Nothobranchius furzeri: one gene and its partner. The protein of the gene in region 1 interacts with the protein of each later gene in a pairwise test. Links are inferred from orthologs where the notes say so. Each region holds a gene or a part of one and is shown in the gene's direction. Other genes may lie near its edges.

What was found.
Region 2: the proteins of wdr4 (region 1) and rabggtb interact in binary tests that used the Homo sapiens proteins (3 or more experiments, as listed by UniProt). The two-hybrid records come from large-scale screens. The link is inferred for Nothobranchius furzeri from reciprocal best matches to the Homo sapiens genes WDR4 and RABGGTB.

What each region holds. Positions count from the first base shown.
Region 1 is NC_091754.1:38,324,999-38,330,907, reverse strand, and holds the start of wdr4 (tRNA (guanine-N(7)-)-methyltransferase non-catalytic subunit wdr4), read left to right. Parts: upstream 1-1,926; 5' UTR 1,927-2,001; coding exon 2,002-2,084; intron 2,085-2,512; coding exon 2,513-2,581; intron 2,582-2,660; coding exon 2,661-2,807; intron 2,808-3,258; coding exon 3,259-3,415; intron 3,416-3,557; coding exon 3,558-3,670; intron 3,671-3,847; coding exon 3,848-3,908; intron 3,909-4,028; coding exon 4,029-4,127; intron 4,128-5,021; coding exon 5,022-5,086; intron 5,087-5,909. Other genes in the region: si:ch211-140m22.7 (protein bangles and beads), read right to left, coding at 490-592, 1,394-1,438. UniProt on the Homo sapiens protein: Non-catalytic component of the METTL1-WDR4 methyltransferase complex required for the formation of N(7)-methylguanine in a subset of RNA species, such as tRNAs, mRNAs and microRNAs (miRNAs).
Region 2 is NC_091751.1:41,397,865-41,403,953, forward strand, and holds rabggtb (geranylgeranyl transferase type-2 subunit beta), read left to right. Parts: upstream 1-2,728; 5' UTR 2,729-2,849; coding exon 2,850-2,852; intron 2,853-3,065; coding exon 3,066-3,173; intron 3,174-3,707; coding exon 3,708-3,905; intron 3,906-4,039; coding exon 4,040-4,145; intron 4,146-4,346; coding exon 4,347-4,399; intron 4,400-4,588; coding exon 4,589-4,699; intron 4,700-4,811; coding exon 4,812-4,937; intron 4,938-5,042; coding exon 5,043-5,192; intron 5,193-5,265; coding exon 5,266-5,406; 3' UTR 5,407-6,014; downstream 6,015-6,089. Other genes in the region: acadm (medium-chain specific acyl-CoA dehydrogenase, mitochondrial), read left to right, coding at 1-58, 245-340, 411-659, 729-800. UniProt on the Homo sapiens protein: Catalyzes the transfer of a geranylgeranyl moiety from geranylgeranyl diphosphate to both cysteines of Rab proteins with the C-terminal sequence -XXCC, -XCXC and -CCXX, such as RAB1A, RAB3A, RAB5A and RAB7A.

The sequences.
Region 1 (5,909 bases):
TACCTTTCTCAGAGAGAAACCTAGGAATTTAAGGGTTAAATGCATTACGTATCAGTTTGGACTGTTTATTAAATTTTCCTAAAAGAGTCACTAATATCGTCTGGCTGAATGTATCGCAATACAACGTGACATATTGTATCGCCAGAGTTTCACCAATACAGATCCCTAATGTTCTTTATCAGGAATGTCTCAGTACTCTCCAATCCAGGTCCTTGAGATCCCCCTACCCAACATGTTTCCTGCTCCAACACACCTGTTTAGCAGCCCATCCGGCACTGCAGAAACCTGTTAATCACCTCAAATCAGAGTGTAGGAGCAGAGAAACCACTAAAACAAGCTAGATAGCGGCTCTCTGAGACCAGGGTTGAAGAGCACTGATCTAATCCATCCTGGGAGATGTAGGCATGTCACTGGAACAGAGCTGTACCACAGTTCAAGTTTGATAAAGGCTAAACATCCCAACACAGCAGCATCGGCACACAGGCGTACCTGGGTTGGCTGTACTGACTGGCTTCTTCGGTCCAGATTTTGAGCTCAAAGCTGCAGCTGGAGGCATTCTGCTCAGAGTCATCCAGCTCTCGGCCTGTAAACACTGACAACACACACATGCGCGCACACACACGCCATACAAGTAAACAGGTGAGTCTAACCGGTATAATCATCCTCACCTGTACACCTGTTAGCTTTATCAAGTAGAACCAGACCAGTTAATTGGTTTCCTAATTCGATCAGCTGATTTTGCATTTGCCTCATTATAGTTGATCTACTAAAACCAGCTAAGCTGATGCTAAAATGTTCTGACATCTCACCAGAAAGACAAAACAAACAAGGTTTGTTGTTTTAGCAGCTGACCCAAATTATTAGTGTTCAGGAAACACATTCCATCAGCTGTTCCCGGCTTCACCAGAGCAGGAACAGACAGCTTGTGTTTCATTTTCAAAGCTGTGCAACAGAAATAAGTCAGACTGAGTGTATTTTGTGCATCTTGCTTATACCTAATGTTTGTCTTCTCTGCATGGATTAGTCATGTCTGATTTTGCAGAGTGAGACTGTCTGTCATGGGAAAAATTGGAAAAATAGGAAATGCAGTCTTTCCCAGAAGATGTGAACTGGGATCAGCTTCATAAAACTGAGCTATGTACAGAAGTAAAGTCTAGCTACACACACCTAGAAAATCAAATTCCATCACAGTGAGTGCTGGAGGCCTACGTGTCTGGTTTAAATCTGCTCCATCAGGCGTGCAGCTCAAACAATGATGTGCTTTCCTTTCCCCTGACATGTCATGTCATGAACATTCACTGTCAGAAGCCATAGATTCATCCTGAAGGCTAGGGCGTCAAAGCAAAAGACAAGATGTTCCAAAATCACAGCATGCAGCAGTGGTATATTTTACCTTAGCATGGCTCAAGCGTCCCATCCTCAGCAGGGAGGTCGCCATTCTGCTGTGCAGCCAGTCTACACATCAAAATAAACCCACATAAATCAACACAGCAGAACATCTGCAGCAGTGCATATAAGAAGAATCTTACACGGTTCTGAAGAGCAAGGCAGCTGAGCAACACTTTGTTGGTGGGGAGAGGAGAGGGTGTCCTGGTGAGAGCAAAGGGTTCTGGATCCTGTTGGATCAGCTGCTGGTGATGCAGGGGCACTAAACAGAGCAGAACTGGTTGGGCCGTTTACGTAACACGCCTCGGTCACGCCCCCAACACACACCCGCGCGCGCCCCCCTCATATATCCTTTTATTTTTTATATATTATAGTTTTTTACTTTAGATTCTGTTGTACATGTTTTCTGTTCACGAAGACCAGAGTTTTTTTAAAACTAAAAGTATTTTTCATGAACAAAATCAATTCACATTGTTGAAGAACATTCAGTTCTGGTTCTGACTGACCGATGTGTTTGGGCCGGGGGCGTGACTGTTCCATAATAGCGTCCGACGTCATAAACGCGCGACCAAACAAGCTTTTACTCTCTCCGCGTGGACTCCTCCTGTCGCGATAATGACTTCTGTGAGGTTTTGTCGAGACTGGTTTCTTTTAAGCTGCAACAAGAAGCTCGTAGCGGTTCACACTAAAGAGAGCAGGTTCGAACTGCTTCGTGTTGTTAGGGTTTCTGCCCGGTGACCCAGACGTGTTTGCTAGCTGTTAGCTAGGTGTTAGCTGTAAACAAACAGCTGACAGGGACTGGAGGGGAGGTTTCTTCTGTTTTTGTAGTGTTGTGTTCATAGAGAAGCGGCGCAGTCCCATCGTGACTGAACACTCTTTGTTTTAGTGAAAACGTCGCGATTGTGCGTTTAAAACCTTATTATATAGTCTCCTTTATTTGTAGTAGATCAGGAAACAGCTGTTCAGGTGGACTGGTTCGCGTGTAGTGCTTTCATGGCACTTCTCCAAGGTTCCCAGTTGCAAGTGGACTGTTGTCCTCTCATCTAGCGTCTCTGCTGGTTTCCTACTGGTGCTTATTAAACACTAAGCTATGCTATTTCACGTGTTCTCCACATTTCTGTTGCAGGGAACCATTTGTGTTTGATTGTAGCGATGCTGAGAAACCCCCCAAAAATCTGAAGGATGACGGAAACAGGTGAAAATGATGGTCATGGAGGGAATGAGCATCCACGAAAACACCCTAATCGTTTTACAACTGTTATCTCTGTCATCAGTAACAACGGCTCCACAGAGGAAACAGGAAGTGATGAAGTCCTCGCCATTGCAGTGTCTTCATCAGGAAAACTGGTGGCGTTAACTGATGACACCAAAAGACTGGTTCTGTTTGAGTGTGAGCCCTCATGGCGCTGCATCAGTACCAGGTACAGCTCGGACAGCTTTACACCAGCCAAACTTGGACCCAAAACACACTGCAGCCACCAGAAAGAGCTCTCAATAGAGAAACACAACAAAAACAAAACCTTCTTACAGTAACTTCAACCAAAGTTATACAAATAATGCCCTAAAGACCCAAACATCTGTTTGCTAACTCGATTTATCTTCATTTAATGTGATTTGTCTAAAGATCCAACTGGTCAGAGCTCACTCACACATCAGCCACTGATCACTCAGATGTGTGTGTATCATCTGAAGCTGTTGGTGAAGCACCGCACTAGAGACCAGGGCCTCATTTAGAAAACCTAGAGTAGGGTCCTTACTGAAAGCTCAGCAAAAAAAAAACTTTTGTATTAACACTGCTTACACACAGCTGCGCACAATTCTTGCTTTATAAATCAGACTGTGTGTGCGTGCATGCATGCTGTTGTTGAACAGGTGGGTGGTCAGGAGGTGCGTGTCTCTGGTGTTCAGTCAGGCTGAAGACGAGCTGCTGGTGGCTGATAAATCAGGAGACGTGTACTCGTTCTCAGTGGTGGAGCCACAGGCAGAGGGCGAGCTGAAGATGGGACACCTCTCCATGTTGCTCTCTATGGTGAGGATCAGTGAGCTGATGTTTTGATTGTTACAGCTGATCAACAAACATGTTTTCTTTTATTCTTCTATTAAACGTAGACTTTGAGTATCAGTGTTAGTTTCTCTCAGATTCATCACAGGTTTTCCCTGCTTGATTTTAGGTCGTTTCACCAGATGACAAGTTTATCATCACAGCTGATCGAGATGAGAAGATCAGAGTCAGCCATCGCAGGTCTCCGTACAACATCCAGTCCTTCTGCCTGGGACATCGCCAGTGAGTGTCTGGTATAAACACACAAGTCATTGATACACTTCAGTGCAACAGCTGTTTTTATTTCCTTGTTCAAAGGTTTCTCCTCTTAACGAGCTGTTGTTTTTGTTAACTGAAAGTAATGTGAAGATGCTGTAAAACCTCTCTGACCTGATGAGGTTGTCCCATCCTGTCTCTCAGGTTTGTCAGTACCCTGCACATCCCACCCAGCCACCCTCACTGGCTGCTGTCTGGATCAGGGGTAGGTCAGCATCTCCCTAAGTTATAAAGTCAAGAGTCATTCACATGACAAGCTGTGTGTAAGTATGACCTGTTGCTTCAGGCATCTAGAGCCTATGAAGTGTGTGTGTGTGTTCATCAGGACGGGACGATGAAACTGTGGGAGTTTGAGTCGGGCCGTCTGCTGCAGAGCTGGGACCTGTCACAGTTGGACGAGAGCCAGAGTTCTGATCCAGATAAGGTGCAGCTCCGTGTCCAACACTGTCCTCATGAGACAAATGTAAAAGAGAACATGTCCTCGAACATTTTACCTGACAAAGTAACGGTTAAAATAAACATTTAGAAAGTATCCTTCTCTCACCCACCTGCTCAATGATCAGCAAGCTTTCCCTGTAAAATGTTGGATCACACGCTAAACAGAGTTAGTTTATCAGCTGTTATCACATAATATTATTTTTCTTATCTCGATTCAATTCAAGTTTATTTATAAAGCGCCAAATCACTACAAGCGTCATCTCAAGGACCTTCACACAGTAAACAAACCAATACAGGTCAGGTCATTAAGCCAATCAGTAAAAAGTTTCCTATATAAGGAACCCAGCAGGTTGCATCGAGTCACTGACTAGTGTCAGAGTCTTTACAGCAATCCTCATACTAAGCAAGCATGCAGCGACAGTGGAGAGGAAAACTCCCTTTTAACAGGAAGGAACCTCCAGAGGATCCTGGCTCAGTATAAGCAGCCATCCACCACGACTCACTGGGGATGGAGAAGACAGAGCACACACACACACACAACATAGTAAATATTCTATTTGGTGAGAGATAAACTTTATTGTATTCATCCTAGTGAATCTATAATTAAACGGGTAAACTAGAACACGTCTCTTATTTTTATCTTCCTTTTTTGCACCAAGCACCACAGCAATTTCCTAATGTTGTGATTCTCGCACATATGGCAATAAAACCTTCAGATTCTGATTAACTGCTGGTGTTTCTGCTGAATCTAAACAGTATGAACTCACTCCACTCTGTCTTGTTTCTGCCGAGTGTTTCTAGACCCCAACCTGATCCAAGTTCTGTGCTTATGAGCCGGAAAGGGTCGATACGTTGTTACCATGACTGGTTTGTGTTCCAGAACACTGCTGTAGTGCGGATCATCAGCTCCTCTGATGGATGTCATGTAGCTGTACTCTGTGAAGGGTGAGTATCCTGACTCAGTTCTCCCTGCTGCTATGCTAATATATCTACTTAGTTCTATGCTAGCACATGTACCCTTTACCCAGAGCTCTCAAGCCTCATGCAATAAGCGTGAGACTCGCGCATTTTCCTGTTTTACACGCACTCACGCCACACATGAGATTTCTCACGCAGAAAATAAAAAAGCCCATATTGAATGGGCTACGAGCGATCAGTTCCCTGCACTCTGCACCTAACAGTGTTGTTCAGAGCTCAGCCTAAGCCCCGCCCTCTGTGTAGCTGTCGGTCTGGCATGCAGCCAAAGCTGCGTAACACTCCTCCTTTTGAGAGTTTTTGCTAGCCCAGGGGGCGGCAACCGCACGCCTCTTCCACCCATCTGATGCGGCTCTCTGTGTTTGTGAAATAATGAATGAATAAATATATTTTTATTTTACTGCATTAATTTTTTATCTGCATGCCAATTCTAAATGTGAAGGTTGTCTGTAAACCTGAACCGGTCCAACCCGGTCTTACTGTGAGACCGGGTTGACTGGTCACCTGCTTGTGCGTAATCAGATGTCTCTGTAGGAGCTTTCTGAGCTGAAGAGGATATGAGGTTCTGGACTCGGACAGGCTCATGGATGCGTCACCATTGGAGACGGGAACTAGCGCTATTTAGCCAAAGTTTCATCATCAGGAACATTTTCTAAGTGACGAGTCTCTCTGAGAGACCGGGTCTGGAAACACTCGCTTCAGTGGGAGGAACCTTCCTGCATGGCTCTGGTTCTGCGACGCGCTCCAAACCCCGATCTCCACATCTTCAGCTCGCTGTCCACCTTGCGTGCGC
Region 2 (6,089 bases), on another chromosome or scaffold:
CACAGAGGGAGCTGGTTTCAAAATCGCCATGGGTGCCTTTGACAACACCAGACCACCAGTAGGTTCTCCAGCTGGAGCCAGCATCTATCAACCACACTTAATGAGTTTGTGTCCAAGTTGCTAATTGAAAACATGGAAAAAACTTTATTTGCCGATCTTTGATTTGTGGTTCACGTCCTCCAGTGGAATCCTCAGAGGTAACTGAAGTATGTTTTGGCTAATTACTGTACTTGATGCTGTGCAGGTAGCAGCAGGAGCAACAGGTCTGGCACAGAGAGCGCTGGATGAAGCCACTAACTACGCCCTGGAGAGGAAGACATTTGGCAAAGCGATTGCTGAGGTTTGTTTTTAATGAAATCCTTTAATAGAAATGCACCTGACAAGATGGGTAAACTGTTTGTGTCTGGCAGCATCAAGCCGTGTCGTTCCTGCTGGCTGAGATGGCCATGAAGGTGGAGCTGGCCCGGATGGCGTACCAGCGGTCCGCTTGGGAACGGGATCAGGGTCGCAGAAACACTTATTACGCCTCCATCGCCAAGGCCTTCGCTGGAGACATCGCCAATCAGGTGGCTTCTGATGCCGTTCAGATTTTTGGAGGCAACGGCTTCAACAGCGAGTACCCGGTGGAGAAGCTGATGAGGGATGCAAAGATCTACCAGGTGGGTGTTGCCTTTGCATGCAGGTGAAGCTGGAGGCTTTCATTTTAAATTGAATCTGTTCTTTTGTAGATCTATGAAGGCACAGCTCAAATCCAAAGGCTCATCATTGCCAGAGAACACCTAGGAAGATTCCAGAAATGAAATCAGCTGTTTGACTTTTCTTCTTCTGCATTTAAATATTGTACTTTGGATATAAATAAGCTCCTGTCAAACTAATCTGGCCTCAGGATGCAGCTCTAGATGTTGTTTGCCTTAAAACGGATTCATTCTGCTCTGCAGTATCAAACAAGTTCAGACCACGAAAAGGAAACATTTTTAAGACATAAATAATCGTGTTGTTTCCAGTTTAGCACATTTTGTACAAAAACATCTTTTGAATGTGAAGGAAAGAGAGTCTGTTCAGGTTGGAAATGATCATCAGCAGGATACAAATAAATGTGTTTAGAAGGAAATCTGTTTCTGAACTAAAACTGTTGCAGTTATTCTCGTTCACGAGTGTTTTGTTGATAAAGATGTTTTTTTTAATGAAAATCCGGTTGAAGGTCAAAGTTCAGACTTGGCTCACACCTTTGTGATTTTTGTTAACTTGTCTTCATGCCTGTAGTCATGCCTTAAACACACAACTGACTCTGGTCAAATGTGTAAAGTTGTATAAATTCATTTAACACTAGAATGTGTGGAAGTAATTCTGCATGCTGTCAGCCAGTTCCACTCAGCAGACATTATCAACATTATGGTAAACTTCTGCACACTTGCTCACTAATGTTGGATGTAATGCTGTATGATTTTTCTGAGCCGTCCACTTAATAAATTCATTCTGGATTATATGGTTTGGTTTTATGGATGTCGGTCATTCTTTTGGATGAGTGAACAAAGGAAATCCTAAATGTATTAATGAAAAAAAAAAACTGATCACCATTATATGTACTGATTGTAAACAAACATTTAACGCTTTAAATGTTAGTCATGTTACATTTTTACGTATTTGTAGCCGTTTTTAAATCTAGTTTCTGTTAAAACTTTACTGATGTATTTCCTGAAGAATAGGTGTTTTAAATATGATAGCTAATGGTATAATTTAAAGGAAGCTTTTTGATGAATAAGTAAAAGTTTATTTATATAGCGCCTTTCACAGATATAAATCACAACATGATAAAGATCAGAGCAAATACCTCTAACCAATAAAAACATCTGAAAAACAATAGCAGTGATAAACGTAGAAAATAAAATCATGAGTATAAACAAAGGGAAGGTGTGAACTCGAACAAAACCATCTTTTTGAAACATTTAGGGAGGTAACGCCTGGATGAAAAGGTGAGTTTTTAGATGATTTTTAAAGACCTCTACAGTGTTAGAGAGACGGAGATTTGAAGGTAGACTGTTCCAAAGTCTGGGGCCAATAGTCTGAAAGGCCCTGTCCCCTTTGGTTTACAGTCTGGTTCGAGGAACAGCCAGGAGGTTTTCAGATGTGGATCTAAGTTCCGAGAGGTGATGTGTGGGGATAAAAGCTCAGATAGGTAGCTTGGAGCCTGGTTGTTAAGAGCTCTATAGGTCAGGAGGACTAAAACTTTAAACTGTATTCTATATTCTACCGGGAGCCAGTGGAGGGACTGTAAAACTGGAGTGATGTGAGCTCGTCTGCTGGATTTGGTTAGGAGTCCAGCTGCTGCATTTTGGATGGCTTGAAGGCGTGAGAGGGAGGTTTTGCTGAGACCAGTAAAAAGAGCGTTACAGTAGTCTAAGCGTGATGACACAAAGGCATGGATGATTTTTTCCAGATCTGCAGTAGAAACCAGTTTACGGACTTTTGAAATGTTTCTCAGTTGAAAGAAACAAGAGCGGGAGATGGTTTTGACGTGAGTCTAAACTTAAAGCTGGATCAAAAATAACTCCTAGGTTTCTAATGTTGGCCTTGGCTGATGGGCAAAGTAAAAGTAAAGTAAAAGTAACTTTTCCAGTTTTTTCCCTAGAATAGTTACATATTTTTACTATACTATCACTAAAAGTACAAATACAAAACACTTAGTATTTTTGATTTCAAAACCGCACAATAAATAACTCAAATTGATATTTTGTTCTTGTAATACTTCAATCAAACCAGAAGGTGGCGGTAAAGTCTGAAACTATACGACATTTAAAACCGTAGAAGAAGAAGGCCGGAAGTAGCTTGACCATGCAAAATATGTCAGAATGGTAATCCGTCACTTGTTCTTCTGTGCTTTAGAGCATCGTTTTATAATTAAAGTGTGTGTAAATGTTATCTTGTCTTCTTTATTTAAATGCTGTGCCGAAGTGGATGCTACCCTTGTTAGCATTTAGCAGCTAGTCATAACAATGTGTCCTCCTGTATTCGTTTAACTACAGCGTAGTTGTGTCTTGTGACCGTTTCTGTTGTGTTTTTGTCAGAGTGCTCAACTAAAAGATGTCATCATTAAACCTGACGCTCCCAGCTGGCTGCTGCTGGACAAACATGCAGATTACATCGCTGCCTACGGGTCCAAGAAGGACGACTATGTGAGTGACGTTTTATTTACACTTAGTTTGTAGGATTTGTGTCGTCTCGTTTTTATCTGCCTCTGTCGATAAAACCTCGTTTCAGAAGTTTTAAACGTTTTATTTATTTATTTTGGGTTAAGATAAAAGATGCATTCAGGTGTTTTAAAAGGTAAGTTTTTTGTCCCAATTTTCCACAAAGTATATTAAAAAAGACAGAAAATGCTTTAAAGAAACCAAAGATGTACATTTTAAAAAATAATTATAAGACTAAAGAGACGGCCCTCACGTCTCATGAGCACCCACATCAGTGGGGATCTCCCCTGGACCCAAAACAGATTGCCAAGAAGGCAAAATTTTGAACTGCCCTCCACAACTCTCAGCAACTACAGCAGCCTGATCATCTGATTCACTGGTTAAGATTGTGTGCACAAATAAGAAATTTTACTTTGGTTTAACGGGTTTTTGCAACAGGAATTAAATAATGTTTTAAACCCAAAATCAAACTGTACCTGGTCTTTGGTGTTAATGAAATCTGACACCTCTGTGCTGCAGGAGTACACACTGTCAGAGTACCTGAGGATGAGCGGTATCTACTGGGGGCTGACGGTGATGGATCTGATGGGTCAGCTGCCCAGGATGAGCCGTCAGGAGATCATAGACTTCATCAAAGCCTGCCAACACGAGTGTGGAGGCGTCAGCGCCAGTATTGGACATGACCCACACCTGCTGTACACCCTCAGCGCCATCCAGGTGACACAAAGCCTCATTATAATAAATCACAAATGCTAAGGATGTGAGGAAAACTCAGATGAGCTAAACGATCACATGTGTTTTTCTTTAAGGTTTTTAGTTGACATCTTTTTATTTTTACACGTCTTTCTCAGATCTTGTGCTTGTATGACAGCCTGGATGCGATCGATGTTGACAAAGTGGTGGAATATGTGAAAGGGCTTCAGCAGGAGGATGGCTCTTTTGCAGGGGACAAATGGGGTGAGCGAGCTTTACTCTCTCTTTCATTTAGAGTAAAAATAAAAAGTCATTTTCACAAAGCAAAGCAGCTCTTTAGAGAAACCTGCACAACAAACTCTTAGATGTCTGAGAATAAGGAGCTGCATCTGGAATTGTGCACAAGCTTTAACTATAAGATTATTTAAAGATCTTTATCGTAACTGAAGTTTTCGTTCTTTTCAGGAGAAATAGACACACGCTTTTCTTTCTGTGCGGTTGCTACGCTAGCGTTACTGGTACGTACGGGTTTGTCTGAAAATAACCGTAATGCAGGCTGAACCAACAGTTCTGTGATAAAACTCACTCAGTTGCATCTTTTTTCCTGATGTCTGTGAACTTTTTAAAGGAGGTCGTGAGTTTGTTATTTAGTCAGATTAACCATACCTCTGAAGATTACTTTCTAGTCTTCATCTGTCCTTTCCCAGGGGAAAATGGACTCGATAAACGTAGACAAGGCGGTTGAGTTCGTCCTGTCCTGTATGAATTTTGATGGAGGTTTTGGCTGCAGACCTGGTTCAGAGTCTCACGCTGGTCAGGTGAGTTTTTGTCCCCAAACAACAATGTAAAAAAACCTAAAGGTTCAATTTATAATAGAATGAAAAATCTTCTGACATTAAACCCCCTGTTGCTTTTTTACGCTTTCATAAGATTTACTGCTGCACTGGTTTCCTGTCGCTCACTGGCCAGCTGCACCAGCTGAACGCCGACCTGTTGGGCTGGTGGCTCTGTGAGAGGCAGCTGCCATCTGGAGGCCTCAACGGGAGACCAGAGAAGGTCTGCCACCTCCTGATGATGTTTGGTTTTAGATTTGTTTGGAAAAATGACCAAAGAAACCCTTTTTTTAAGACTTGTCTTTAATCAAACCTCCATCTGACGCAGCTCCCAGATGTTTGCTACTCGTGGTGGGTTCTGGCATCGCTGAAGATCATCGGCCGGATCCACTGGATCGACAAAGCCAAGCTGCGGCGGTTTATTCTGGCCTGTCAGGACGAGGAGACGGGAGGTTTTGCAGACCGACCAGGAGACGTGGTGAGACGTGTTCTGAAAAGCAGAGCTCAGATTTTCCTCCAGTGTTCTGAATGTTCTGGTCTCTCCTCTGCAGGTGGATCCTTTCCACACTCTGTTCGGGATCGCCGGTCTCTCTCTCCTCGGCGACGAGCAGATCAAGGCAGTAAATCCGGTTCTGTGCATGCCGGAGGACGTCCTGCAGAGGGTCCACCTGCAGCCCGACCTCCTCAGCTAGCCCATCATCATCCTCACAAACACCGCTACCCTCACATAAACTCCCCTCAGCTGGAAGCAGGAAGTGGATCCGGACTCATCTCTGTTTCACTCTTCGGCCTTAATCCTTCCTCTGCTCACGTTTCTATCCAGCGTATCGTGTTTCAGCTGTTGAAGTTTAAACATAATTTAAAAACACATTCCTTACACTTAAATGCATCACTTCCATCAGCTGCAGCTAAGAATTAATATTATTGTTTATGTGGAACTTTGGATTCAGCCGGGAGGAAAAAGTGTTTTTGGCACCTTAAACTCTTAGCAGTTACGTAGCTGCTTTTTAATCATAAAAGGCGTTTTTATGAGCAGCAAGAGCGATGTGGAGGACACTAACGGTGTTTGCAGCAGACAGGCTTTCTGGGAAACCTAACTAAACAATATTCTACGTTTACAGCTTTATTCACTATTTATTAAACCTATTCACAGCTCTCTAAGGATTCTGGGAAATTTCTGTTAAACATTTGAGTCGTAAATTCTTCACTTTTATTGTCTTATTGTCAAACGTTTGTTTTGTTGTTGTGAACTGATCCGTGTCCGTTGGTACAGAGTAAATAAATCACACCAGTGTTCAAATTTCTAGTGTTTTTTTTTTCTGATTTAGAAGCCAAACATTGTTCCAGTTACAGATCTGATAACTTATGTTCACTA